Drosophila melanogaster: one gene and its partners. The protein of the gene in region 2 interacts with the protein of the main gene of each other region in a pairwise test. Each region holds a gene or a part of one and is shown on either strand. Other genes may lie near its edges. The genes, in order: PICK1, CG4570, CG12496 and CG32086.

The links.
Region 1: the proteins of CG4570 (region 2) and PICK1 interact in a two-hybrid assay, tested with the Drosophila melanogaster proteins (one large-scale study listed by BioGRID).
Region 3: the proteins of CG4570 (region 2) and CG12496 interact in a two-hybrid assay, tested with the Drosophila melanogaster proteins (one large-scale study listed by BioGRID).
Region 4: the proteins of CG4570 (region 2) and CG32086 interact in a two-hybrid assay, tested with the Drosophila melanogaster proteins (one large-scale study listed by BioGRID).

What each region holds. Positions count from the first base shown.
Region 1 is NT_033779.5:12,693,173-12,702,389, reverse strand, and holds PICK1 (protein interacting with C kinase 1), read right to left. Parts: upstream 7,358-9,217; 5' UTR 7,275-7,357; coding exon 7,228-7,274; intron 7,086-7,227; coding exon 6,867-7,085; intron 6,555-6,866; exon of another isoform or gene 6,250-6,554; intron 6,199-6,249; exon of another isoform or gene 6,124-6,198; coding exon 6,012-6,123; intron 5,965-6,011; exon of another isoform or gene 5,920-5,964; coding exon of another isoform or gene 5,119-5,919; exon of another isoform or gene 5,067-5,118; intron 4,925-5,066; coding exon 3,569-4,924; 3' UTR 3,473-3,568; downstream 1-3,472. Other genes in the region: CG5776 (uncharacterized protein), read left to right, coding at 1-500; CG17036 (uncharacterized protein), read left to right, coding at 1,876-2,619, 2,684-3,238; CG5781 (uncharacterized protein), read left to right, coding at 5,119-5,919; IFT43 (intraflagellar transport 43), read left to right, coding at 7,478-7,516, 7,575-7,816, 7,873-7,896, 7,964-8,086, 8,142-8,403; CG6153 (uncharacterized protein), read right to left, coding at 8,546-8,670, 8,734-8,924, 8,988-9,217.
Region 2 is NT_033777.3:10,853,053-10,859,676, forward strand, and holds CG4570 (uncharacterized protein), read left to right. Parts: upstream 1-3,754; 5' UTR 3,755-3,965; coding exon 3,966-4,793; 3' UTR 4,794-5,014; downstream 5,015-6,624. Other genes in the region: CG4565 (uncharacterized protein), read left to right, coding at 1-344, 400-554; CG6567 (uncharacterized protein), read right to left, coding at 602-1,309; CG4511 (uncharacterized protein), read left to right, coding at 1,804-1,980, 2,242-2,715; CG14694 (uncharacterized protein), read right to left, coding at 5,168-5,429, 5,492-5,733, 5,788-6,113, 6,177-6,478, 6,543-6,624.
Region 3 is NC_004354.4:2,407,482-2,414,423, reverse strand, and holds CG12496 (uncharacterized protein), read left to right. Parts: upstream 1-3,522; 5' UTR 3,523-3,627; coding exon 3,628-4,689; 3' UTR 4,690-5,059; downstream 5,060-6,942.
Region 4 is NT_037436.4:11,580,240-11,587,295, reverse strand, and holds CG32086 (uncharacterized protein), read left to right. Parts: upstream 1-3,231; 5' UTR 3,232-3,262; coding exon 3,263-3,786; intron 3,787-3,851; coding exon 3,852-4,028; intron 4,029-4,079; coding exon 4,080-4,854; 3' UTR 4,855-4,895; downstream 4,896-7,056. Other genes in the region: rt (rotated abdomen), read left to right, coding at 1-559, 791-1,353, 1,445-2,224, 2,284-3,005; CG33269 (uncharacterized protein), read left to right, coding at 5,180-5,446; CG43391 (uncharacterized protein), read left to right, coding at 6,310-6,432.

The DNA of each region.
Region 1 (9,217 bases), on a different chromosome or scaffold from region 2:
TCGACGAAATCGACGCCATCGGTGGCGAGCGTTCGGAGGGCGACGGATCCAGCTCTGGTTCGTCCGTAAAAGAGCGCGTCCTCACGCAACTGCTCACCGAACTGGATGGCGTGGAGGCACTGCAAAATGTCACCATAGTCGCTGCCACCAATCGTCCAGATATGATCGACAAGGCACTGCTTCGTCCAGGCCGAATTGATCGAATTCTCTACGTGGGACTACCGCAATGTGAAGCACGTAGAGAGATCTTAAAGATCAAACTGCGTGCCATGCCGATATCAAACGATGTGGACATGGAGAAGTTGGTGCAGCTGACGGAGGGATATTCCGGTGCAGAAATACAAGCCGTATGCCATGAGGCTGCCCTGAGAGCCCTGGAGCAAAGCTTCGAAGCGGAGGATGTCAAGTGGACGGACTTCGAGCACGCCTTGAAGGCGGTGCCTCCGCGGACTTCTCCAGAGTTGTTGAAACTCTACGAAGATTACCTCAAACGGAAGTAGATTAAACAACTCAGGGGAACCTTGACTTTAGAACTATTTTAAGATTAATTGTGAAGAATCCGCAAAACAGTGACGATAAGATTACCGAAAGCAAATCTGCTTAATTTGTTTAAACAAATTACCATGTTATTAGCTCTCCAAAATCTGTTCACTCGATCAGCCTTCAAATCGGAGTTATGTATGTAGTTATGTAAGTTATGTAAAGTAGAACCGATTAGAGGGTCGACTTTGGTGTTTAGACAGTTCTGAAATTCATATTTAGTGCCTGCAGATTAGACTACAAAGATAAGATGGCTATAGCAGAACTATCGGTGATAACTTGAATGCTCTATTTTTAACCTCTAAATTCAAAGAGTATCATTCTCTCGATTGTGAATATCAAGAGCAAACGTTGAGCTTTCAACAAATTTCCAATTAATGCGTCACTTAATTGTCAATAAATTGATGGGGAACAATCCAAGAATCTTAATTTTTGTTGCTGTGCGATAAATTTGCTTACTCGACAATTACCGAAATAAAACTTATTTAAAATTTACAACTTTCACTGCTCCGTGATCTGTAACCAAATCTATAAATTTGTCAAGTTGTAATTATAGAAATTCTCCAAATTAATTGAATGTAGATAAATGTATATTTCACGGTCTTTTGAGGTCATACTCGTACAGTAGCGGCCATAAATATATGAAGTGTTCAATTTTGTGAATAACACCAAAATCAATATTAAGTTATGTTTTTTAGTGGCCCTAGCATTAACAGTTAACGGTCATTGAACTTGGGCGCATGATTTAAACATTTGTATGTATGTGTGTAAATATATTAAACAATATACGAATTTTATGGCCCAACAGTAGCTTAAATTAATTGTTTTACGAATTTGCAGTGCTTTGGATATAAGTTCATATGTGCATATCTTTTCCAACAACTTTTGAAATATTGAATGTAAAATATATTTTATATAGCGTTTTTCTTCTAAAAATAATACTATTTGTTGATAGTTTATTTTTTAAGTATATTAAATATATATTTTTTTGTGATAATATAGTTGATTGTATAGTTGTAGTAATCGTTGGAAATAATTTTATATGCCTGTCATATTGAATGTTGCTGTTTTCTTATGATTTTTTTTGAACCCCTTAAAATTCACCTGATTCTGGTTTTCCGGTTGTTGTGGGTGAATACTGCTGGCCACCACTGTAGCCGCTTTGGCGGAGAGCGATGGGCTACCAGGCGCTCTTGATTCGCGCGATCAGTTGCCGGCTGGCGTTCGTCGCGTTGGTTACGACACTTATCAATTGGCGAAACAACTGGCGCCGGATTGGAGCTTGGAGTTTCGAGTCTCCATGCGAACAGCCCACCTGGTATCGCAATTTACGACATGAAGAGCTGGCTGAAGATCTCGCTGCTGCTGTGCACGTTTGGCTTTTTCCGGGAGTTTCGACCTTCGGAGCCGTACGTCACAGAGTACCTAGCCTCGGATTATGGCAACCTGACGACGGATCAAATCTATCAGGATGTGTATCCCTTCGGCACGTACTCGGTGCTGGCCCAGCTGGTAATTGTGTTCCTCATCACAGATCTGGTGAGGTACAAACCGGTTATCGTGCTATCGGCACTGGCTGGCATTACCCTGTTCTCCATGCTTATCTGGACGGAAACCGTGGGAATGCTGCAGGTGGCCCAAGTGTTTTTTGGCACCTTTACGGCCGCTGAGGTGGCCTACTACACGTACATGTACGCCAAGGTCAACAAGGAGCAGTATCAGGTAGTCACGGGCCACACGCGAGCTGCCATCTTGAGCGGCAAGTTCCTCGGCGGCCTGTTTGCCCAGATTTTGGTGTCCACCGATAGCATGGATTACCGGCAGCTGCACTACCTCTCGCTGGCCACGCAGCTAATCTCCCTGGCCGTGTCCCTGTTCCTGCCCAGTGTGCCGCGTAGCCTCTACTTCTACGCGGGTTCCGAGAAGATTACCATTGCCGACGGAGAAGAGACCTCACCAAAGTTCTCCTTTGCCAACGCATGCCGCCTGCTGTGGTACCACCTCGTTAGTTCCTACTCCAATCCCGTCGTGCTGCAGTGGAGCATATGGTGGGCATTGGCCACCTGTGGTCAAGTTCAAGTAAGTTGGCCGTTTATTGCAAGAAGTTAAGTGTGTAATAAACTAATTATGTTAAATCCTCTAGGTGATCTCCTACATCCAGTTCCTGTGGAAAGAGGTGGCACCGAATAAGCTCAGTGTTTACAATGGCGGAGTGGAGGCCGTGGCCACGCTGCTGGGTGCTATTGGAGCCATTCTGGCGGGCCTGCTGAACTCCAATAAGCGACGGGGATCGTATATGATGGGCATATCCATCTGTGCCGCTGCCCTGGGCGCTCTGCTCATCTATGCCGCCAAGACGCAGTTGATCTGGGTGGCCTACGTGAACTATGTGCTTTTCTGCACCGTATTCTTCTTCATCATCACGGTGGCGGGTGCCGTGGTGGCCGAGAATCTGGTGGAGGACAGTTTCGGCTTGATCTTCGGTATCAATACGTTGGTGGGTCTGATCCTGCAGACTATTCTGACCGTTGCGGTTGTGGAGCGAGTTGGATTCGCTCTGGAGCCGCGGGATCAGTACGTGGTTTACGGTAGCTACTTTGTGGTCTTGGGTGGAATATCCATAATTGGGTCTATCTGCGTGAAACTGTTTTGCAGGACTAACAAGTCGAGTGTGGAAAATGTGGTTTCTTTAACATAAGATAATATAGGATTTTACACAAATCAAAACAGGACGAAATGTGCAAGTTTGTAAATACAGGACTTCTTATTTACTATCTTATTTATTCAAACAACATAGTATATAAGAAATTCCATCAATTAAACAAACTAGTACAAAGGTAAAAAGTTAAATCAGTTGTTGAGCAAAGAATTTGCTTTCCATAAAGTTAAACTTTACAGAAATAAAACATAAATGAAAGTCTAAGCTACTATTAAATTGAAAGGCTTTTAATATTTTTTGATATCTACACCAAATACTGAAACATTTAATATTTATCTAACACATTACTTAATATTTGTACTAAGTAGCCTATTGCAGTAGCAGGTCCATCTCCTCCGCATTCGAGGACATGAGATCGCGCTCCAAACTGGTGGTGGCTGCAGTCGCCTGGTTCAAGAACAAGTCGAAATCGTAGCCATCATTTTGGGCAGCAATGGAGTCCTTTTGGTTGCTAATGGTCTGCGGATTGGAGAGCAGATCCACATCGTACAGGCCCAGCTCCTTGAGCAACGTTTCGTTCTCGCTGGCGGATTGTAAGGTGGACGAATCAACGGACGCCTTGGCCGCTTCCACATTTATAATTGCCGCCGGCTGTTCGACAGCCTCGAAACCGCAATCGACTTGCGAAGGAGTGGAATGCGGATGATTGTTGGCCTCGATTTCATCATCGTCCAGCTCCTGCGGCTTCAGGGTACTCGACTTGTACTGAAAGTCCGTCTCCTTGAAGTCCACTTCGATGGGAAAGAGCGGTGGCAGCGAGTCTAGTCGATCCACCAAACTCCTATGAAGTTCGGCCAAACTTTCGAGCAGGCTTCGCAGCTGCTTGTTCAGATCCATGGCATGTTTGCATTCCAGCAGCTCCATCTTCTCGAGAACATCGGTGCGGAGTTTGGCGAACTTGCTGCGTGCATCCTGGCGACATCGCAGTATCAAACGGTACTCATAGTTGCCCGTTTCGACGCGATAAAGTGGCTCCTGCAGGGCAGCAAAGCCATGTTCCTCATCGTCCATCTCCTTGACCTTCAAGCAGTACGAAAGATATGTGAACTTGGCATCCGCATAGCGACGCACCGTGAGCTTTGTGTCCGGAATGGCTTTATTCAGATACGTTCCCAGATCGGCCAGCACTGGCTTTATCTGTTTGATGATGCCCAAGCCATCCTTCTCCAAGGTGCGATGGAACTCGCCAAACGTTCGAAACGCCTCCGATGCCCGCTGTTGCGGTTCATGGACCGATATTTGGGTGAAGCAATCCCCAAAGGATTTATATGTCTGCAGAAGATCGTAGTAGGCCTTGAGCATCCGGCGAGCATGCTCTACGAGTCCTTTGTACATCAGTTCAGTGCCCTCGAGCTCCTCCAGTCGCTTGACCAGCGAATCATTGCACAGAATGGCGCGGGATAGACCCAGCGTATCCGCCGTATTGCTCGACAAATTGTCCACAATCCGATGCTTCAGCTTCTTGAGGATGATATCCAGTGTCTTGCCCTGTTCGGGATCGGCGTGCAGCTTGTTGTAATGGATAACCACCTCGTCGGTGGCCGTCTGGATCATCTTGGCCACCTCCACTTTCGTCTTGCCCTTCACGCTCACCGAATTCACAGCCAACAGTTCATCTCCTGATTGCAGGGATCCCTCACGAGCAGCGGGTGTTCCATCGAAGATCTAGAGTTTACAAGATGTGACATTTATAGCATTGCATTTTTTGGAAAGCTATTGTTTACAGTTTGTAAATCATACTTGTGTCAAAACGTAAACATTTTTATAAAACCAAGCAAATAGTACTCATAACTTTAAGTTTCAAAATTATCGTTTAAGATTAGTCCTTCGCAACTGAAACCGATTTGGTTAGCCAAATTATGACCATCACCAACTGGTTTAATTGGTCCGTAAAGGATTTAAGCAATGAGTCCCATGCGAGACCCAAGTTGATTCCGGGATTCGACCAGTTGGATAAGAGGCTGCAGGCGGCGCTTCAGGAGCGGGACGTGCAAAAGCATCAGCGCAAGCGTACACAGGCGGGTGGTGGCCAAAGCCAGGCAAAGCCCAAAAAGCTCAAGACGACCAGAAAACAGACACCAAGGGTATGCAAATTCCAGAAGGTTTACACTGAGAAACGCAAGAAGCTAAAACGAGAGGCCAACATGCAAAGTAATGCGTTTCAGTTCCGGAGCAGACCTGTGCCCGATTTCGAGCGATCTCATCGTCGTTTGGAAAGGCGCAAGCTGTACCTGAACTCTCTGCAAACGGTGACGAAGCCCCGATGCCCTGCCACGCTGGCCACGTCAATGGTCGCTTTAAACAAGCGCCTAAAGAAGCAAAGGCAGAGCCGAAAGACATCCGACTTTGTGCCCCGAATCAATCCAGGCTCTTCTATGGACTACCTCAACCGGCAGCCCTTTACGCCGCTTGTCAAGTCCTCCTTTACCCATCCAAAACCTTTTCATCTCCATACGTCGGAGCGTGCTCTGCGCCGCCAAGTGTATGACGAGAGGAAAAGGATACGGATGGATCGGCGTTTGGAGCAGCAGACCATCGATTGGTTTGCACGGGAAAGAAGCGAGTACTTTAAGCTACGCAAAATGACAAATTTCAAGGCTACGCCGAATCCCTGGAAGCAAACAAGGGTCACCGCTAGAAAAGATTCTCAGGCAGCCTAGAAATGAGATTGTAAATTAAATTTGAAACAAGCTGAATATGGCAGCAAAAAGATCTTTGTGAGAGTTTATGAGTTCATGATTTTCAGACTTACCTGCACGATATACAGACATGGACACATGGGTGCTCCACCCCCAATGCTGATGCCAATCAGGTTGCTCTGATCCTTTGTAATGACGACAGCATTCGTGCTGACAGTCATGCCCCTGCATAAAGGTTGGTAAGAAGTTAAGATATTGAAATATAGTTTGAAGCGTGATCTACGCGTGCTACATGATTTGAAGTATATATGGTTATGTGCTGGTGATTCCATATCAGTTTTCCATACGTACTCACTTCGATTGGTGCGATTTTCTAATTAGCCATGTTACCAGTTCTAGCAAGGCCATTGGATTATTATCAAGTTTGGCTAGGGCTGTATGGGGAAAACTGTTGATCGGGACAGCTTATTCTAAGGCATCGTGATACTAACGCTTTCGAAGGATGGGACTTGGAAAGCCAAAGGACACCTCGAATTCAATATAGTTTGTATACTAGCTAGCCTAAGTATAAGCATCTAAGGCTCTACAAAGGAAATTCACATTTGTCCTTTTTCGGTGGAATTAATAAACTAAATAAACAACAATCTTGTTAGTTCTAGTTCTGTAGTTCTTACTATACAAAAAATGGATATAGTACTGTGTTCGCTCTTTAAAAAGTAAATAATTAAAAAAAAAACAGCAACTGAATCAAAATTAAATTTTTAATAGTTAAATAAAGAAGTGTATATGCTACTATTAATATAAATACACCAATTTATGAATTTAAAAGAATAAAATCAATAAAAAACCAAGAGTAAGCTAATTTGGTAGAAACTACAGGATAAAGACTATAAAAACCAGAACTTAGAAAACAGAGCTGCCACAGGAAATAGTATGGGAACGATTCCGGGTCAACGGAGTTGACTTACAGACGGTCTAACTCATACTTCTGCCTACTGGCGGACTCGATGCCGAACCTGTCCCCGGATGCGGAATCGCAGGAGAATCCCGCCGGGGAGCAGAGCATAACGGTGGCCTCGTTGGGAGCGACGGAACCGGAGGCATGCTCTCGCTGCTCCGTGCGTTCCTTGGGCTGCCGGACAGCCTGAGCACCATCCCCATCCAACTGGATGAGCAGCGGTTCTGGCCTGATTCCAACAATATGTTTCAGTTTGGTGGCAATTATTGATTTTTAACAGACACTTTTCGGCACATCGCAACAGATTGTTGTGCGTAAATAGAGCTGGGCGTAGGTGTTGCAGCAATTTATTGCTTTCAATGGCCACTTACATCTTATCCTCTTCGAAAAAGAAGTCATCTTCCGTGTCCGTCAGCATTTTGCGTTATTAGAAAATAAATATTTGTTTATTTTGGCCACTTGAAGCTCCGCCAACTGTCATCGGCGATAGGTAACTGATTTGAAAACTATCGCATCGCGTTGCGAATGGCAAACTCCATTAGTAAACTTGAACATTCCCACGGAGTAACCATGACCACTTGTTGCCTTGGAAACGCTGAGGATAAACGTAAACAAAAGATGATGGACTGGGCCGAAGAACTCAAGATGACCATAAGAAAGGTAAGTAACCCTGTTTAAATGGATGCAAATTGAAGTTTCGATTTATTTGCCACCCTAGACGACGGCCAGGAAGGGTCGGCGCTCCAAGAGTCGCGATGTTCTGAAGGAGGAGGATGTCCAGGCGGCTGGGGGCTCCAAGGACATTTCCATCGACATTACGCTGAATGTCCAGGCGGGCACCCCACCGACCACCTCGGACACGGCCACCTCGTCCACATACAACAATGAATTCGAGTCACATCGACCACCCATTCGTCGCATTTCAGGTGGCTGGGCGGATTCTGGACTCAAAGGATTAAAGTGGGTATGATTAGGCTCGAATTAGGCACATTACTGATTGCTCTATATCTTTTTAGGTCCAAGAAAAACTCCTTTGATGAGTGAGTACAAGTTTATCACAATAACTTCACTTTCCACCGACTGTTATAATGATAAAATTCATTTTAGTGAGCGCTTTAAACAAACAAAGTCGGCTACAAATTCCATACCAACGGATGACATTCCCGTCATCCCAGACATGGATGATGTCAAGGACGAAATCATGCTCAATGAGATTGTAGAACCGCCAACGTAAGCAGAAGCTGCTATATTTCTCTTCACTACGATAATAAGTTGTAATTTGTAGTATTGGCACCTCACGATCTGCTGTTTTGAAGGAGGCCAATTCCGATTTGCTTTCCCAGTACGCCTTTTCAGCTGTGGATGGCTTTGATCTCTCAATCCTCACCGATTGCCTGGTTCCACAGGAGAGCCTCAACGAGAAGGACGATCTCTGGCAGTGGGACAAGCTGTTCACCGAGGTCACGGCTGAAATCCATTCGGATAAAGTGCCCAATATGGGCATGAAAATAGGACCCGATGTGATTCCACCCACACAATATACTTAGTATGATTTAGCCCACAATATCTGTGCAATACAAATGCTCAATAAGTTAAGCGAATACAAAAACATTTCTTGCCTTAAATGATCACAAAATATATACACTACAGAGATACTCAATTAAATTGTAAATTTTAATCTCTATAACCCTATTGGATGGCTCTGCCGACTCCATCGAAAGCCTTTTCCTTGTGATCCGCTGCATTGGCACGGGATTCGTAGTTGCATATGGTTACGCCATGGTAATGAGCTTCTGTGAACTCTCCTCGAAGACCTTTGAATAGTGACTTGGTTTTAGTTGGGAACACAGATAAAACATAGATTGTTGTGAGCTTACCTATATAGTAAATGCGTGTTATGTCTTCGCCAAAATTGCTGGGAAAGTAGAGGGAGAGATGGTGCACGGAGGAGAAGGTGACCACTTTGGGTGAGTACTCGATTTCTCCGCGGGCATCGCGGGTCAGCTGGAACTCCTGGTCGGGCTTTGCTCTGGCATCATCAAAGGTCATCCTGGGTCGGTTCTTGAAGCTGAAAAATAAGATATATGATGAATATAGTAATATTAAAGCAGCCTTGACTTTTGTTCCTTACATTTTGACCATGTTTGGATGGGAGTCATCATTGGCCCCACTTATGATGATGCCCTTGAGCTTGATGTTGCCGGTGAAGGGAATGTTGAAGAGGAGCTCTTCATCCGCATCGCTCTCCACGTACTTGGACAGATCCTGGCGCTTCTCGTACGGCTTAAAGACACTTTTTCCCTGGCCATCCGTCTCCTCGTTCAGGCACTCCACATTGTCCAGATCGATTTTGGTGTACAA
Region 2 (6,624 bases):
TGTGTACTCAGGCCCGAGGAAACATTTGGAAATATTCGATTCGCCCGTGTACGGATCCAAAGGACTACGGACTACAGCGAAAATTACAAAAGGAGGATACATTTGCGAATATGCCGGAGAACTTTTAACGGTTCCCGAGGCAAGAAGCCGCTTGCATGATAATGAAAAACTAGGCCTGATGAACTATATCCTGGTGCTTAATGAATACACTAGCGACAAGAAGCAACAGGTGACCATCGTTGATCCATCAAGACGTGGAAACATCGGACGCTACCTGAACCACAGCTGCGAACCGAACTGTCATATAGCAGCTGTACGAATAGACTGTCCCATACCAAAAATAGGCAAGTTTTATTGCTAATTCTGATCCGACTTCTCTCGTCATGTGTAATTTTTTAGGTATTTTCGCAGCAAGGGATATTGCGGCCAAGGAGGAGTTATGCTTTCATTATGGCGGAGAAGGGCAGTATAAAAAGATGACAGGTGGAAAGACTTGCCTCTGTGGTGCTTCAAAATGCACGGGTTTCATGCCAAATACTGAAATAGAAGAATAAATAAATTACTATTAAAGTTTACCTAAGTATATGTAAGTACTTGCCACTCAGAGTTTGTTCTGTACTTGGTTTTCCAGCGGAGGTAGTTTTTCATAAATCCATTGCTGCAGATCCGTGATGGAGGCAGTTTTCAGTTCGTGCAGTGTGTTCCTCAATGGATGAAATGTGCCCTTGACACCCAGTTTCGTTAGGTTCTCGAAGGTTTCCAGACCCCAGTCCTTAGGTACCAGAGTATCGCGTTCCCCGTGATACATTCGCAGCTCGGGAAAAGATTCGTCTTTGCCGTTGGCCAGGGAATCATAGACAACGGAGCCGCGGTTCAGGAACGAGGAATGTGCGAATACGCCGGCCAAGCTGCGTCTCAAATGGTAGCCCGTGTGCAGAGCCAAGGCTCCGCCCATCGAGAATCCGCCCACAACGATCCTGTTCAGCGGTATGCCGCTGGCCACCTCCTCGTCGATCAGCTGATTGACCGCATCATAACACTGGGACATGCTCTTCTTGCTTTCCGATGCGGCAATGTTCACGGACTTGCGGTCAAACCACACGTTGGATAGTTCCCCGTCCAGCGGGGTGTACTTCTGTTTGGGAGCCGTGGGATATATTATCTTTATGTGCGGGTACTCCAGATTCCGGCCGATAAGGAAGCGCACCCATTCCAGAACATTGGGGCCGGTGTCGCCGGATCCGTGGAAGAATATCACGGAGGCTGTGTGTTTGCCAGTGGCATTGACCGTTGTCAAGGCTGGCTTCATCTTTAATTCACCTTTGATCAACTAAATATATTGCACTATCGGAATAACCATCAAAGGGCGGCAGTGTGGCCAGGGGTTCGTAAAGAAACAGCTGACGGGAAATAATACTGTCATGGTATTTTGAACATTAAGGAGCCTTTTGTATTTTCCAATGTAAAGTCAAACGGTCACACGAATCCATACGTCTAAATAAACTTTTAAGGAGTAAAATCAATGAAATAAGTGAAAATAAAAGGTGAGTACCGTCTAAATAATCGATTTGTGGGCGCCTCCATCGAAATGCGCTGCGCTTTCCCCAAAACATGCCTTACTTAACTGAATTTTCCACAAAACATGACGCATCTGCGGCTCCATGACTACGCCTTTCCATTTGTGCCGGATCCACACGCACACACGCGCAACCATTGACGCCAACACGAACACACCACACGCAGAGTGCAAATAACGGAGAAACATCAAGACACGCAGAGGAGCAGCAACTGGAAGAGGACAACATGGCCAACATCCTGGAGAACCAACTGTTCACGGCCGCCAAGACCATCGAGCAGCAGCTGGACCAGCAGCTCGACCGCCTGGACAACCTCGATTCGGATGACCTAAAGGTCCTGCGGGAGCAGCGGCTCCGCGAAATGAAGGACCTGAACAACAAGAAGCAGGAGTGGCTCAGAAACGTAGGTGATCATCTCTTACAACACTCAATTATTGAAGATACTTCGAGATTGTTCTCTAAGTGGTATATGACCAAATGGTATTCAACATGCGACTTTTAAGACATTCGCGACACTTGCTTCGATTAATTCAAATTAGTTTTCAAATTGGGCTACCAGCTTAAATAGCTCAAAACTTAAATATATATGTAAAAATTAACTTTCAAAGAAAACCTTGTTAGCGCAACAATCTCATTAATCCCCAAAATTGCTAATCTTTTCCAGGGTCATGGCACCTACACCGAGCTGGCCGACGAAAAAGAGTTCTTCGAGATGTCGAAAAAGTCGCCCAACATTGTTTGCCACTTTTACCGCGACAGCACCGAGCGCTGCAAGATCGTGGACATGCACCTGAAGATCCTCGCGGCCAAGCACGTGGAGGCCAAGTTTTGCAAGGTGAATGCCGAAAAGACTCCATTCCTCACCCAGCGACTGCGCATCAAGGTGATACCCACCATCGCCCTGGTGAAGGACAGCAAGACCAAGGACTTCATTGTCGGATTCACCGATCTGGGCAACTGCGACGACTTCGCCACCGAAATGCTGGAGTGGCGCATCGCCCACTCGGGGGCCATTGACTACAAGGGCGATCTGATGCAGCCACCAGATGTGAAACGCAAACCATTCATCAACCGCCCACAGAAGACAATACGTGGAGGCTACGACTCGGATGACTCCGATATAGATCTGGATGACTAACTACGGGCAGTCCATCCCACACTCTCGATTACCCAAGCTCCAGCTTTCGTTCCACACTCCCACACAAGATACACTCAAAAGCGATGGAGTAACAAAAACGGACACACACAAATCAAAACCTAGCACATGGATCTAAACCAATTAGGCGTACTCTAGCGTTATTTATTTAATTATACGATTCCGATCCCTCTGCTACGGTCCCATCGCCACCTAGTGTAAGTGGCTAATTCGGTTGCCTTCCCCCCCGATTATGTGCTTTAATATCTATCAGTTCAATCAGCTGCCTCGAAGGCTGCGCCACTCTAGCGAGCTTAAGCGAACTCAAAATTTGATCTTTATGGTATTTGCAATTCCAAATGAATGTGCACCCTTTGCGTATATATGTTAAGTTGAGCATAGTTTTACAAACTGCCCTCGCCCTCCAGAAAACGGTGTACGTAAAACAAGAAACTAACATACACAGAGCATAAAAGACAAGAAACTAAATATCTGGCATATATATATTTTTAAAATTTCGATAAAAGGTGTATTGCATTTCCTACAGTAGAGGTAACTAACACTTACATATGTACAAGTTTTTATATTTATTTTTGTAATTCTACAAAGCATCAAAGGAAATCAACGATTAAATAGCATGTTCAAAACAATTGCAAGCGCTTGGTAATTGGTTGTAAACTTAAATGGTTCCCACACAGGTTTTTTGCATTTCAGATCGTACTCTTGGTAATATTTTATTTAAATCATACACGGGAAAGGCAGCTTTTTATTAAAATATGACTTTTTAACAAAAAGACTAGAATTTCTTTAAGAACTTATTATTTTCATCATTTATCGATATTATTAAACCTTACTTGGAAAACACAGAACTGATCATCGGGTTAAATAGTTTTGAATGAAATAATCCTGAAATAATAGGTTTGAACAAACTACGCTGCAGTTAAAGTAATGGTATTTCCCCGAACAGCTGATCATGAGATTCCGAAAATCCTCCCTTAACACAAGGGTTGCCAGTCTTGCCGCAGACGAATAACGGAATGGCCGCCAAAGACAAAAAGGGACGCCAACTGAATTTACCTGTAATGACGCCGTAATCCCGCCAATTGCAGCTTGCTCGCCATAAAACTACGGTCCAGACTATCGTCAAAATCGGTGCAAAAACTTTTACCTGCCAGGTGCATAAAACGCCCATCGAGGATTCGATTTACCATCATTGGTATTGTGAAACTCGAGGTGTACAGAAGTGATTCGAAATGGTTCTCGCTCCCGAAGTTCGAAGTATTGTGAAGGCGCTGAAGGGCTCGAACAGCTGTGAGGAGATAGCCCAGATCCTGGAGTGCGACGTGGAGAGCGTGATAAGCTGCATTCGTGAGTGTGAGCTGCTCGAGGGGAAGACTGCCACGCTGAGGTTGCCGCAAAAACTGAAAACAGCGGCGCCCGTGGCGGTTGCGCAGGAGGAGGAAAAGAAGCGCGATGTTGGCAGACCCAAGGTCCTGGAGAACCGGCAAATTGTCGAGCAAATGCTGAGCGACAATCCGCACTACACCTCCATCGATGTGCAGCGGGAGTTGGCCCGACACGGCATAGAGGTCAGCCGCAGGACCTTGCAGCGCAGGATCAGCGAGATTCGCTCCAAAGGCATACGGCAACCGAGAGGATCGCCACAGCCGAAGGAGCCCAGCACTTTCGGCCTCAGTGAGGGGGCGAAAAAAAGGAGGTTGGCCTGGGCCACCGCCCATCAGGATTGGACCGTGCGCGACTGGCGCAACATCTTCAACATGGACGATCTTAAATTCGTCGACGAATCAACGCCGCCAAAGGAGATCTTCCTTGACTCGCTGATGGGACCGGAGGGCAGTGTCTGCAATGACCTCAATCTCCTCGAGCAATTGATGGCCATCATCCAGCCGAGGATTCAGAATCAGGCGCCCAAAAATGTCAGCGAGTTTCGAGCCGTCTTGTACGACGTCTGGCACAGCGACCAGGACATGGTGGACAAAATTGAGATGCTCTACGAGTCGATGACGTGGCGGGTCTCAGCGGTCCTCCGCAACGGCGGGGATCAGACCGAGTTCTGCTAGCCAAGCTGTGGATTCCAATCGCACCCTGATTCTTGAATGTTGTATTGAAAATAACGACGTTCATGATCTTGTTTAATTTGACATATTATTAAGTTTGTAGTGGCCATATAATGTACATGGTACACTCTGATTAGATTCGCGGCGTAGGATTAAATATCTTCATTTTTTGAAACTATAACTATAAAAAAACATATACATTTTAATAAAGTGTAAAACAATATAATATCAACGATGTTTCAACAGCTTGGGAAATATTTCTTAAAAGTAATAATGTTTCAGAATACAAGCCAATTATTATTTTATTAAACAAACTTTAAATATGTATAACAATTTTATTTGATAAATGAACACTTTTTCATCATTAGAGTATGTTGTTAATTCGCCTCCTGAATTGCTTTTGGTTTCTTCGAAATTGACCATATATATTGCAATATAACAGCAATAGAATAGACTATTCCAATAACTATAAAATAGAATGCGTAGACGGAAAACTGTTGAAAAACATTCAAATTCAGATTGGCCTTTTCCGAGACGACGACAAATGTGAGGATGCACTGCAGGAGGAGTCCCACGAACGTGTTGAAACCAAACACCAGAGCGAAGCTATCCTCCTCCAAGCTGCTGGCCAACTCCGAGCTATAAGGTATTACGAGATTTGGTAAATTTCACCTGTTGGAAAAGGATCAAGAACTGCTTACCTGGCCACTGTTATGGTGAAGGCAAACAGGCCTCCATACAGCACATAGCCAAGATAGGACAGATATATATCATCGGTCCAGCAGGAAAGCAAAACACAACCTCCTTCCAGGACCGACAGCAGAGCCATCGAGAGCAGGCTGCTCCTGGTGTTCAGACGTCCAGCATGGAAATAACCGGCGAGAAGGGCGAACACAGCGCTTAGAAGCGTCAGGGCCACGTCCACAGCTCCATTCCAGGCTATCTTCAGGGGAAATCTCAAGGATGAGAAAGCCATTGATTATTGAAACTCACTCACTGTTGGTTCGTTCTCGAAGGACTTCCATACCACCTGCATATAGGTGGTGATTTGCAGAAATCCAGCCAAACTGATGGCATACCACAAGCTCCATTGTATCACCAAGGGATTAGTGTAGGCACTACGGAAGTGGGACCAAAGGAGCTGCAACGCTGGTATCTTCTTTTCTTGGCTCGCTTCCTCGTTACTGGGTTGCTCTGAACCCTTCTCCAGGTTACCACCATCCGATTTGGTTCCACCTTCTATGGCCTCGCTTCGATTGTGAAAGTACAAACTCTTCTCCACCTTTGGCAAAAAGAATGCCCAGAGCAGCGCAGCAACTTGAGCTGTGGGAAAGTGGGAACATTGGTTAACTGGCTATTGAATCACTTTGCTAACTGGTAACCAACAGGTGACGGTGATGTAAAACAGTTGCTTGTAGTTCATCCACCTCATTCCAATGACCATCTGAGCCAGGATTCCCGCAACTAGCTTGCCCACGAACATGGCTGCCCTGGTGTGCGAGGTCACCCTGGGATAGTACTGTTTGTCCACCTTGGCGTAGATGTACGAGTAGTAGGCCACCTCGCCCGCCTGGTAGAAGCCATAGAAAACCTCCACCGCCTGCAGGCCGCTCAAAGTGGTCGTCCAAATCAGTGTGCCCCAGATGCAGATGCCTGTAGTGGCATTGGCGATGATCACGGGCTTGTATCTGCAACGCAAACGGAGGGTTATTGCTGGCCAATAAAGATTGCATTCATGCATGGGCTGTATACCTGAGCAGGTCCGTAATGAGGAAGACGAAGATTAGGAGCGCCAGGTAGGAGTATGTGCCCACCGGGTAAACGGATCGGTTGA
Region 3 (6,942 bases), on a different chromosome or scaffold from region 2:
GGATCGGCAGTCGGATCCTTTTTTTCGGATCCCTGCAATATGTGCTCTAAATTATTTGCAATAATTTCAGCCCCGGCCTCTGATTTTTTGCCCACTTCGCATCCTTTCCCTGGCGTTCCTTTGTTGCAATTTACTTTCTGCTCCTTGGATGCAGCAGACATCTCCCGTTGCGTATCTGTATCTGTATCTGTGTATCAGGATCTCCGTCCGTGCTCGCGCTTGTATTTTTATATGTATCTGTATCTGTATCTGTATCTGCTCTTCATTATGGCATCCATTGTCTTGCGCTGTCTGCCTCAGACGCATCCTTTGGGTGTCCTTTCGTGTGTTCCAGTTTGCGCTGCCTCTTCTTTATTTTTTCAGGGTCACAATTCGAGTCTCAGTCGTCGTCCTTAGGAGAGCATCCCCCACCCCAAATGGCCAGGATCCGTTTGCGAAACTGTCTCGTATTTGACAGTTGACAGTTGGTCGACTTTTGAGTTGGAAAGTTATGAGCATAAACATGATATTTGCCAGGGGCCCGTGTTGCTATTGCCATTTGGCAATTTATCCTTTATATAGTGCCAGTCATTTTTAGTCCCCTGCCGCCAGCGAAAATGCCAGCGTAAAAGTTATGAAATCAATTAATCATTTCAGCTCATTTATGATTTAATGGCTTCACTTTTTTGTGGTTTCCGCTTAGAGTCGTAAAGCATGAAATCCCCACAACCTTTTCGCAGCGCGTTAATGAAGTCGCAAACTGGCACTTTCCTACTTTCCTACATTCCTACCGCCCAATGCATCGCATGGCAATATGCGAACTTTCCCCTTTCGCAAACACTTTCCCTCCATTATGCAAAACGCAAACAAAGCCGCGCGACAAGCATTTGATACACTTTGGGCACTTTGAATGCCATTTCAGGCGGCGCGCAGCAAATCAAATATCGATAAATTTCGCAAACAATACAAACACGGGCGCATTAATCAAATGCGGCAACAATAAAGCAGCCCTATCTGTTGGATCCAGCCAAAGTGGCCGATCTGCATGTAAGCACATATGCAAAGGCGTTCGAAGGGGAGGGTAATAGCGATCGAGCCTGCCAGAGACGTTCGAGTAGCTAATTCACACATTCAAGGGGTAAGTAAGCCTTGTCGCTCGCACTTAGCACTTGGAATGCACACACAATTGTCCAAGTAAACACGACTAACTTACAACATATGAGCTTAAAACATATATCGCAATCAATGGGCTGTTAACGTCAAGTCCTAATCTTAGGAGGTGCTACCTAGTTACTCTTCACATCTTAATGGTAAACGGGGTGAGCACGCATCTCTAGCGGATTCGCGAGTTCGCATTCGAGCATGCAAATCCCTCTGGAACCGCGGCGCAGGACCTCAGGAGCGCAGGACCTCGGGACGACGGCTGAGTGAGAGTGAAAGTCAAGTGGCTCTTGGCGACGCGCTCTCGCTCGAGCACGCGTGCAGGGGAAAGGGACGGGAGATGCAGCCCGGGCGGAGCGGTAAAAAATGCATGGGCAATTTGCATACAGCGATCGGGACTGGATCGTGACTTCGGGCTGTCCTTGAGGCAGGGTCCTTGGGCTCGTTAATTAAGCGTAAAATCGTCGCACACGAAATGCCGAAAATTCAAATTGAATTTGAGAGGTTTTCGTGTGGTTCTTTATCCATTTGTGTTTCGTTGTGTCCCAAAAAAACCGCAGAAAATGCGAGGATTATGGTAATTTTGTGTGGAAATTGCCGGTGAAGACTAGCCGGGATACGCCTTGTTAGGCAGGATGCTCGTTAAATCATATTAATCAACATGCCGGAATCCTTTCTTAGCGCTGGAAACTCTCTCAAAAACCCATTTAATCCTTTTGTGCGGCTGTGTAAACAGCAATAACTCAGCGCCACAAAGAGAATCGAAGGACTCGGGGACATAACGAGGGCAAATCGAAGGGAAAAGAGGTAAAAAGTAAGCAAAAGCAGGAGCGCATTTCGCAAAGTAAACGTTGAAAAAGAGTTGAAAAGTTGAGAAATTCGCCATTTCAGTGGATGGAACGGGGTAATCGATTAACTACCCCAGCACCCTTTTTGTGTCCCTATCCAGGATGAAAGCCGATCGGAAGATAGTCACATGAAAACATATGAAACAAAACGACTTTCACCACAAAAAAGCCGAAAAGGATAACGTGCGAAATATACGATCCCCGTTAGCGAAAATCTTTCAGCAATCGATCGCAAATAAAGATATCTCCAGGGGACCAGAACCCATTCAAAGATGCCTTTACATGCTGAACTAGATCAGAACGTCAGATAGCAAGCCACGTCGGTCACGGACACTTTGAGTGATCCAAGTCCAGGAGATGACGAGCGCCGATCACTTGAACGTCACTTAGGATCGCTGGTCGATGATCACTTGAAGATCACTCAGGGATCTCGATGATCACTTCATCTACAGCTGGTCAAGAGCCACATATGGGGGCAGTTATCTTTGATCTTGTCATCGGAAATATAATCTACTTATTGGTTCCATATTTCATATTCATATGGAGGACAGCGGCTGTGCTTTAAAATATAGATCACTACAAAGGTTATGGGAACCATTTCCTTTTACATTTACATTTCAAAGTTAAATCCATACAAGTTGTGAATTTGCATTGCATGAGGCCCATCTATTTGTAGAAAGAACACTTATTAAAAAGTTGATAATTTGATAATGCATACTGTGTACAAACTTTTCCCCTGTTGGGTGAGCAACTGACGCTTTGCACAGGACTTTTCCCAGAGTTTGTAACGTTTTTCTAATGCTTCCTTCCGGAAGTGGCAAACATTTTCAATTAAAGCCGCCGAGTATATAAATTGCATTTGCGGCCGCTAAAGAGCCGCAATTAATACTGATACCGCGCTACGACAAGTGGCTAAAATGACGAGGAGCTGTCGGCCAGGAAGTTGGACTTGGCATCGGCTAATTAGCCGGCCAACCTGACTTCCCTTCTCCCTTTTCCGTTCACTATTTTCCAGCCTGTTGCTGCTCTAAATGTCCATTCAAATGAGGGGGAGACAAGGGCGAAAGGAAGCAGACTTCCTTGAGGGGAATGAAAGCAAATTTAATAACCAAGCGCTGGCCGATAGACATCTAGATGTCATTTTCGTGTGGTGGTGCTGTGGATGAGTGCCTGGATTGGAGTGGGTGATTCTCGGCCGGTACTGCGAACTGTGGGAAAGGACGAATACCTCCAATACCTCCATCAAAATATCAGATCTCGTTGGCATAGAGATCATACTTTCATATTCTAAGCTAAGCTGCTGATATCCTCGAGCTTGTTGCTCAAGTTCCTCGAGATCCAAAGACAATTTGCTACCACACACATCCGTTGGCCAAAGAGAGTCTTTTCATCCAAGGAGAGAACGCCGGAGAGAGCGAGTGTCCTTCTGCCCGCCGGGGTGCCTCTTGCGCAACAACCCCTAGCCCCGTAACCCCTAGCCATTAACCCCTGAGCGCCGAGCGGGTATAAAACGCAGCCCGCTCCCCGTACCGCTTCAGTTTGTCAGCGAGAGCGGTCGAGAGCAGAAGACTAGCAGAGTCTAGAAGTACATCTTTTTTTTTTGTGCACCAGGAGCAGCAGAAACAGAACCACACACAACATGCTGAAGTGGACGGCATCGGCGCAGCGCCTGAACGAGATTCCCGTGCACGATCAGGATGCCAACCAGCCGCAGAGGAGGAGGCTGCAGAGGAGGCAGCGCCGTCAGCGGAGGGCCACCATTGCCAACAAGGAGAACGTGCCTGACACCGTGGGCTACACCTCCACGCCAGTGCCCATTACCCGGCTGCGCAACAGTCCCCTGGTCCTGGCGCCGCTGAGCGATATCCGGAATGTCACCCCGGAGGCGGTGGTGCGCAGTCAGGCGCCCCAAAGGGTACAGAGTGTGCGATACGCCACCACATTGCCACGTTTTGCCGAGGACTACTCGCCCAACGGACTGCCCAGTGGTCAGCACTTGGCGCTGAGGGGCCTGGCTCCGTTGGATCCCTTTCTGGGCCAGCCGCGCTATATTGTAGGCTCGGGTGCAGGAGTTAACAAACTCAAGCAGCGTAGACTGGACGAGGACTTTGTGGCCACCTTGGAGCCGGAGTTGCAGGAGACGGCAGTGCCAGAGCCACCCACCCCCAAGGTGGAAGTGCGTCCAAGCACACCGCAGCCCGCCTCCACGCAGATGGGTGATCAGACCTTGGATCGCCTAATCGATGCCATCTTGGATTCCGCCTGCAAGGCGAACGCCAGCAGCAAGAAGAAGCCGAGAAGGTCCACCTTCAATCTGCGCAGACGCACCTTGGTCAAGCAGCAAATGGAGTCGAACTGCCCCCAGGAGGTGCTGTCGCCATCCTACGCACCTGGAGACGATCCGGCCTCGGATCTGAGCTTTGGCCTGGTTCCCCTGCCCATGCACAACCTGATGCCCACTCCGGAACCGGCATCGCCCCTGGCCAAGATTCCTCACAACTTGCTTGTCCAACTGGCCACTCCAGTGGCCCCCAAGTCTGCCCCCTGCGACAACACCTTCTGCCTGGAGACTCCAGTCAAGGCCCTGAAGAGGACCCGCAAGGAGATCGTCGCCAAGGAGTCCCCCATTAAGCGCTACAAGGTCGACGAGCGCAATTACTTCGAGGTGGGATTGGCCCTGCCCTCGTCTATATATGTCTGAGCAGAGGTAATTTCAAACAGATCCTCGGAAAGCCACAAAAATGAGAAGAGAAACTAAATGCGAGATGGAGATGAAGATGGAGACGAGAAAGCGAGCAACGCTGACAAACGGGGGGAAAACGCTTAACTATGACGCTTAACTAGTTCCTAAGTCGTAAACTAATCATCTTTCAATTACTGTACATAATTTCTTAGGCCACCTTAATCACTATTTATTCCAATTACTAATATAACCATTTTTTTTTTTGCTGCTGTTATGTAGTTTTCGAATATACCTTTTTTTTCATTATTTAATTTTAAACAAATATGAATATTTATTGCTACTTTAAGTTACCCAAATAATTATTTTTTCAAAATAAAAGCATTAAATCAAAAACAATGGAGTACACTTTTCTTTTCTTTTGAAACGGGGAAAACTTTATATATCAGCTTATCATCATTAATGTCGCTTTTTTGAGTAACTTTGGCTACTTCCATGCGTACTGCCCAATATAGGGATATGGGATTGTATTGATTTCAAAATGGTGATATTTGAAAAAGACTAGACTATCTTCATAGTCTAGAAATGTTTTCTCATGTATCCATTGGAATCTACTCTTTAAATGTTAGGTTTATAGTTGGTTTCTGAACTATTTTCGAGATACGAACAAATATCATTTTTGTTGTGCCATAGCATCGCATCGAGTTTTCTGATGAATGCGAAACATCTGCGGTGACCTTCGTCACCTACGCAATATCCCAGCTCGTGCCGATTGCATTTTGACCTGCCGATACGTACAACATATATTTACACAGTTGCTTGACCAAGCGATTTGCTTTGCTTTTCCAGGCGACCAAAACAAACAACGGCGATGCAGGTTGGGAACTGGGAATAATTGAATGCCTGACAGGTACAATGGCACGCCCCGGGATCTACAATCAAGAAGAAAAGAAGAAGTCAGAGGCAGCCAACAGCTGGTCCACTCCTTGTTTCCGAGGACTCAGGACTCTGCGTCCGCTGTGCTGCTCAATTGGCTATTTTCCCATCGAACTATATGACGATATGTTATTAAATATTCATTGTGACCGCTTTTAAAGAGAACACATTTTGCGGACACTCGCTTATCATAATTTAAATCCATTTCAAAATCATATTTTACAGCAAATGAACTTTTTAAAGTCATCGAAACGAAATCAACCCCCGATTTTCGCTTTTGTCTGCGAGCTTTAGAGCTTAGAGTAATCCAACCAGAAACCGTTTTGCACATATTAGTATCCTATTAAAAAAAAATCGTAGGCACCCTTGCAGATGTCCATGTTTCGAAATCAAATTATGGAAACTGCAGTGTTCTGCTAGATCATCCGTGAAAAATCTAGCTATGTTTCCATGCTCCGACTTTTGGCACACACGTCATCTCTAATCCTTCGGCACATGACACTTGTTGGCACGTTGACGCCCTCGCACACACTTTTTGGCACTGTAACTCGATTTGAGTGCGGTATGGATAGTATCCTTTACCTATACTCATAACCATGCCAGTACCTGTCGCTGTTCCGCAGGAGCCCTACTGTAAAATCCCAAATAAGAAGACTTTACTCGTTGAGTTTTTGTAAGAAACTGATTTTATTTGGAAATATCTTTGGTTTAAATAGGTGACATGAGAATCGCATCTTAAAGTAAATGGCCTACGCAGAGGCCTAAGTAAATAGTCCCCGCCTTATCGAGGTCCCACGCTCGGGCACATCTGCCTATCTTGAGCGGCGAGGACCTTATCTGTGGTCTCCCACTAAGGGACTATTTTAGGAGGCGGGGAACGATCTCAAGTGACTGACTCATGTAGTGTGCACTTAAATTACATGTTTTTGAGCAATGCACCCATGTCGCCTTAGATAACAAAATCCTAAATATAATTTATCGCTCTCGATTCATTTACATAAGATATGAACGGAGCCCAAAATTGTAAGTCTTTAAATATATTCGTGTTCATGTGTGAACATTCTGCCAAAGGGCCAGCAAGCTGAGATGTACATTAGTATATTAGTTGCATTTATAACAGTAGTGGACTGTATTTATTTGATATATGTTCATTTATTTTGCAACTAAGATTTCAATGGGCCTAGTTTTTCTGGCTTTTAATTTTATTGGATTACAATTATGGTTTATATTATTTTTAATTCAACAATTTGTACTCAATTAACTTATTTTAAACATTTTGCTTTTTCTATGTAGAAGTACATTTTCTATTAAACAACGATATAGTGGACTGTATATTTT
Region 4 (7,056 bases), on a different chromosome or scaffold from region 2:
GCAAGACGGCCAAAGTGAGGCAGCAACAACAACACCAATGGACAGGCAGCGATTTGAGCGGCGAGTCAAACGAAAGACTTCACTTTCGCAGCCGTTCAACAAACTCGATGCAACAACACACAGCAATCAGCAACTCACCTTCACCACTGTGCTGTAACGGCGCTCGTGCTTTAACAATGCTCAATTGCTGCGTCGACGTCAACTGTCATTTGAATGCGCCGCTCCGCGGCAGCGTTAACCGGCACACGACGCCAACGCCGACCCCGACTGCGACGCCAACGCCGGTAGCGACGCCAAAACAAGCCTCCCCCTCGCCTACCTCCGATCGTTCGCGCTCCCTCTCACGCTCGCCTTCGCCGTCTCGGTCTCGCTCGCTCTCCTGCCAAAAACAAATCGACAAGAACAGCGCTGGCGCAGCATCCGCAGAAGAGAGAAAAACCGCTAATGCGAGTTCGCAGCCATTTACCGTTAACCTGAGAATCGATCTCTTCAGTTGGACACTCTTTCTCTTGGCCTTCGGCACGCGTTTTTACAAGCTGGCAACGCCGCCGCACATCGTGTGAGTAGAAAAACAATAACAAACCTGCAAATGGGGTCACCGCTGAATGAAAAAAATACACACATAACAATGTCTTAGATTTTTTGTTTATTAATTTAATCTGCGAGAGCAGAGTCTTACATTTAAGTTCATTGCATTACATTTAAGTCTTGCATTTATAGCTCAAATGATTTATGCCTATGTCTTTATAATATTTTCAAGATTCATAGTAAAATACTTCCTACCCAACAGATTCGATGAACTCCACTACGGCAAGTACATTTCCATGTACATGCGAAACATTTTCTTCTTCGATCAACATCCACCGCTGGGCAAACAGCTGATCGCCGGACTGGTCAGCCTGGCTGGTTACGATGGCAATTACACCTTTACCCGCATTGGAGAGCCCTATTCCCCGGAAATGCCCATCTTCTGGTTCCGATTTCTACCAGCCATGTGCGGCAGTCTACTGGCCCCCGCCGTTTACAATCTTTTGCTGGAGGCGAAGCTCAGTCGCTGGTCATCCGCTTTGGGTGGCCTGCTTGTGGTCCTGGACAACTCATTGCTGACGCAATCCCGTTTTGTTCTGATGGAATCAATGCTTCTGCTGGCCACCACGGTGGGCATCGCCTGTTTGCTACGCTTCCAACGAAGTCGCCTGGGCAGCCTGGAATGGTTCTTTACTGGAACGGCAGCTGCCGTCTGTTTGGGAGCCGCCGGAACCGTCAAGTACGTCGGATTCTTGGCACTGGGGCTAGCCTTTTATTTGCTGTGTCGACACCTGTGGCAACTGCTCTACGACGCCGGTCTCACCGGTAAGATACCTTTTTTTCTGAGATTTACAAATACGATTTACGATATAATAATAGAGATTGAATAAATCAAAATAAAACCATTTTTTTCAAGATCGCCAGCTATGGATGCATGCCATAAGTCGCCTGTTAATCTTTGTTGGAATTCCATTGGCGGTCTACTTGGGAGTCTTCTATATCCACTTCAAGACGCTGCACCGGGCTGGACCGCATGATAGCATCATGACTAGCGCGTTTCAGGCCTCGTTAGATGGAGGATTGGCATCGATCACAAAAGGACAGCCATTGGCAGTGGTTCATGGATCCCAAATCACACTACGACACACCCACGGACGCACCTGTTGGCTGCACTCGCATGCAGCTGTCTATCCGGTGCGGTATCCGGACAAGAGAGGCTCCTCCCACCAGCAGCAGGTCACCTGCTACTCCTTCAAGGATGTGAACAACTGGTGGCTGGTTAAGCGACCAACAAAGGAGAACCTGGTGGTGGGTGATGAGCCGGATATCATTCGGCACGGTGAAATTATTCAGTTGGTCCATGGAATTACGAGCCGAGCTCTGAACTCACACGATGTGGCTGCGGCAATGACGCCGCAGTGCCAAGAAGTCAGCTGCTACATAGATTACGAGATCAAAATGGCCGGTGAACTGTTGTGGCGCGTGGAGATTCTGAATCGCGATTCCGAAGGTGACATTTGGCATGCCATCAAGTCGGAGGTCCGCCTCGTTCACGTGTCCACAGAAGCCTCCTTGAAGTTCAGTGGGCGCCAACTTCCCGAATGGGGTTTCAATCAGCACGAGGTGGTGGCGGATCGTGAAAAGGCAATACATGAGGATGCCATTTGGAATGTTGAGGAGCACCGCTATACACAGAGTAAGTCCTCTTCGAGATACTTGAAGAAATACGTTATCCTCATTTACAACCCTTTATAGCTGAGGATCATCGGGAGCGAGAGCGCCAGATGCTAACTGCCGAGATGATACCCACAAAGCGGACGCGCATCTCGTTCTGGGCCAAGCTACTGGAGCTACAATCCAAGATGCTGTTCCAAACGAAGTCAGTGCCAAATCACATGTACAGCTCGATGCCGCACGAGTGGCCGCTAATGGACAAGGGCATCGCTTATTGGTTGGACTCACAGTCGAGTGCGCAGATCTATTTGCTGGGAAACATACTACTCTGGTACACAGCCACCATGGGAATACTTGTCTATGCCGGATTACTCGCCTTCTACGCGATGCGGCGGCAACGTCTTTGCTTTGATATTTCGGAGCAAGAGTGGCAGCGATTCGTATTAGCTGGTGACACCTTTTTTATGGGCTACGTGATGCACTATATTCCGTATTTTTGTGTGGATCGTACACTCTTCCTGCACAATTACTTGCCAGCCTTTGTGTTTAAGTTACTTTTATTGTGCTTTGTCGTGGAGCATTTGGACTATCTGCTCAGGCGCTTCTGCACCGGACGTGGTGTCCATCTGGTGCGCCTTTATCGCCTCATGCTAATCCTGTGGCTGGTGGGCGTGCTTAGCATTTTCTCAAAGTTTATACCATTCAGTTATGGTGCGAGAAAAATGACTTTAAATGAGGTTCGCAGTCTTCGATGGAAGGATACCTGGGACTTTGTCCTGCACAAGAACCACCACCTGTACTGAAAAAACAGATGCCATCTCCGCGGCCAGAGAGAGACGTGCAATGATGTACTAGTACCATGTACAATAGACTAGACGACTAGCTAAAGTTGAACTAATACTAAGCCATAAATTATTTGACATGTAAACATACTCATTTACAAGACCAATAAATACAATTATTTATTTATTTAAGATGTTCTGCTTTATCACTCAGTAATATGTATAAGCACTCTGAAAACACTTGAACCCACACTATATACATAAATACACTCATAAACATGGCCAATAAGGGACACTTTATAGACAGAAATGCAAATATACCGACTGCAGGATTGTCCACCAGTGGATTAGATGGAGCGGAAGGTGTAAAAGTTTGTCTTAGTATTAGCAATCCAGAAGAATTGGCTGAGAGTCTAGTTAGGCGCAATTACGGGCAGATCAATAAAAAATCCCAGAAGTTCCCAGCCGGTTCCGTTCAACCCAGCAGCAGCATCCGGGATTTGCTCACCAGCGAGTTGCAAAAGTCGCGCTTTATGTCCTTCAAGGAGAAGTTCTACGAGGAAATGTACTTCAAAAAGGCCACTTTGGGTGGGGTCAAGAAAACGTACTCCAAACCGGAAGACGTGACCAATATAAGCCAAACCTTCGGAAGTCCATCGAGTCAATCACAAAATGAATGTCTCTACGACGTCATATTGCCGGCCAAGTCGGCGGAGCAAGTTAATAAGGAGTACGAGGCTTTCCACGACAAGTACATCATCAGCCACAATCACTACTTTCCTTCGGAGCAGGTTAACCGCAGGTCAAGCTATTGGTCACTACAAATGCAATGGTGCATATTTAATGAACGTCTTAAATATTTTTTAGATATGCCCAACCATTTGATCGAAAATCACCTTGTGGAGATATACATACTCACGGCGATTTTGGACTGAAAGTGAAGCGATGTCTGGAGGAAGGTGAGAACCACCTGAAGGTTATTGGCAAGGCGCAAGTGGACTTTATGGATCGAAACGAGGCACCCCTCGGAATGCGAAACAAAAAGTAAGTATAGATAGATATAGATTTTGATTAATAGTTTTAGACTGTCTGTAGGTACACTTTTGCGGTGCCCGACATAACTTTCGGTGTTCCTCTGCGCAGCAATGGCGATGTGAAGATGCTGCTAAATAATATTGAACCCTGCTACAAAACCAACCGGCTACTAGATGCCATACGCTATTTGAACAAAAAACGTCATAGTTTGAGGAACCAGCTGGAATTTCACAAGTACGCACTAAATTCAGTGCTGGAGAGGAGTGACACGGATGGAACGGGTCACTTGCCACTGGCACGCATCTTGGAAATTTTCAGAAGTTTTCACATCCGTCTGGATGCGCAAAAAATCCGTCTGGCCTTGTCCAATTTTCGGCTGATTGTGGACGAGGGCTGTGCCACGGAGCGGGTGAATTATGTAGATTTCTTTCGACTTCTCTCGATTCAGAATTCTCTGCCGAAAACGGGAAACTTGACCAATGTATCCGATGTTAGTTGTCTGGACACCACATATCGTTTGCTCTGCGCCGATCTTCAAAACAAGTCAAAGGATAATACGGGAGCAATTAGCCAGAATCTCGAAGGGAATAAAACAACTGCCAAGGATCTTATAACACCGGATTTGGCCATTTTACGTGGCCTTACTCACAGTGATTTCACCTGTTTGCGGCCCAAAGCGGAAATCGAACGTATCTTTAGAAGTCTCGTAACAACTGATAAATTCGAAGCTATTTGGCAGAGTCTAATGACTAAGTTCAAGGACCAAAATGAAATGGCATCCGTCACGCAGTTTCGTACTGAAATGCACAACAAAATAGAGGCCATATCTACATAATACTTAGACAATTTACCATGACAAACAAATATATAATAAACAAAAATAAACTATAGCATAAGTTTGGGCTGTCATTTGTGTGAAGCAAATATTTGCTACAGCATTAAACTTTCAAAGCTGGTGTCTTACGACCAAATATTTAAATTTCTGTGATCAGTTAGGAAATCAAATTAATACTAGTTTTCTAAATCCGGAAATTACTGGAGAACTATAAATGGGGTGACTTCAACATCAGTTGATCACAACAGCCCTTCGCCGCTTTTAAGCCAAGTCTAATATCAATTGCTTTGCCAGCTAACCAACATAACCAACAATAACATCAAAGATGAAATACCTGTTCGTGGTTGCCCTTATTGCCCTGGCCATCCAGGTGGCTTCATCTTCTAGTAATACAACAACAACTGATGCCACCACCACAACAACAACCACCACTGCAGCATCGACCACAACAACAACAACGGCCGCTTCCACTCACAAAAAGCTTTGTTGGAGGGGCAACAACTGGTGCCACACCCGCATTCCCAAGCGGAAGTGCAAGAACCCAAAGAGGTGCCACAAGACCATCGTGATTGTGACCCACAGGAAAAATTAAGCTGCACTAGTAGTTTTTGAAATAAAGAAATTCTTTTTAAAAGAATTTTGCCTAATATTTTCATTTTATCTATAAAATTATTTTAAGTAGTATTTGTACCCTTAACTCATAACGCATAGTAAATGGGTATGCAATGTGTGTTTAAAAGTAGGTAACACTTAAAAAGTTTTCGATCCTATTGTATTGTACACATATGCCTTATCAGAATATATAGCCGATTTAGTCTATCGGTCGCCAATTTTCTAAAGAAATAGTTTCATCGCCTTTAAATTGCAAAAAATTGCCTTTACATATATTTTCGGAATAAAAACATTCTACTTCATTTTCCACTAGACACTTGTGCAAGCTAAACTCTGAGTAATAGGTATCTGATAGTCGAGGAATTGGACTTCAGCTGTTTCTCTTATTTTATTATGAATTTAAAGAATAATAAATAAAAAGAATAATAAATAATCGTTTTAAATAGAAGCAACATCACAGAAGTTTCTATTTTTCCAGGCAATACTCAATTCTTAAAAGTCCATTAAATTATTTATTATCTAAACTGAATTTGAAACATTTTAATGCATCTGAATTACCACTTCTACTCACTTCATTTTTAGGTTACTTTAATGTGTAAAACAGCTGTTTTACTATAATTGGAACTTTAATAGATAAATAAATATTATACCAACTTAAGAGACTTCCTATCTTAATAAGGAAATCATTTTAAACTGACTACTAACCATATGTGCTTACAAGGTGCAAACAAGAAGAAAACTATTAAAAAATTAAAGTATAAAAGATTATGATTCCACATTGGTTAATCACAAAAGTTTCTACCTTCATTTGAGAAGCACCATAAAATTCCAGGATCATTTAAGATGAAGTTCCTCTACGTGTTCCTCGTTATCGCCTTGGCCATTCAATTGGCAGCTTCAGCTACGAATTCAACACATGCCCACAAGACTAAAGTTATTGTGACCCGAAGGAAAACAGCAAATTGAGCTGGACATGTTTACACCATCAAAATAAACATTTCAAAAAAATACATTCCTCCTTGTTTTAAAATTTTGGTCTAATTTTGGTTGGCTAATGTGAAATGGTATTTCACGATTTTGGAGCAGATGAATTTTATTTTAGTTCCTTCTATTTGGTTCATCATAATAAAAAAAAACATTTTCTAAAACGGCTGCTGTCAATATAAACTATATTCAATGTTTTTAACATATGACCAACGGTGCGAACACCTTAAGTTTAAAAGAAGTTCGTTTGACTTTAATACTTACATGTTATAACAACTATAAAGTAGGAAATAATATACGATTTTTATGAGACAGCTATTGGATTTTATACATAAAGAATATTTTGTATAGCACTCTACGTACTGTAGAAACTTATTTCGCTTAAGATAATACCTATTGTATTTCAAGAATAAATGTGAAATTAAGGGCTATGTTAAGATATTATATTATAAAAAAATAGTATTAAACTTTATTAAAATATTGAAAATCTAATATTAATATTAGCATGCTGATATATAGAAAATATAAATATTTAATAATATTAAAATATATCATATTCTCTAATTTTTATATTCTAATAATGATATTAGGACATAACTATTTACA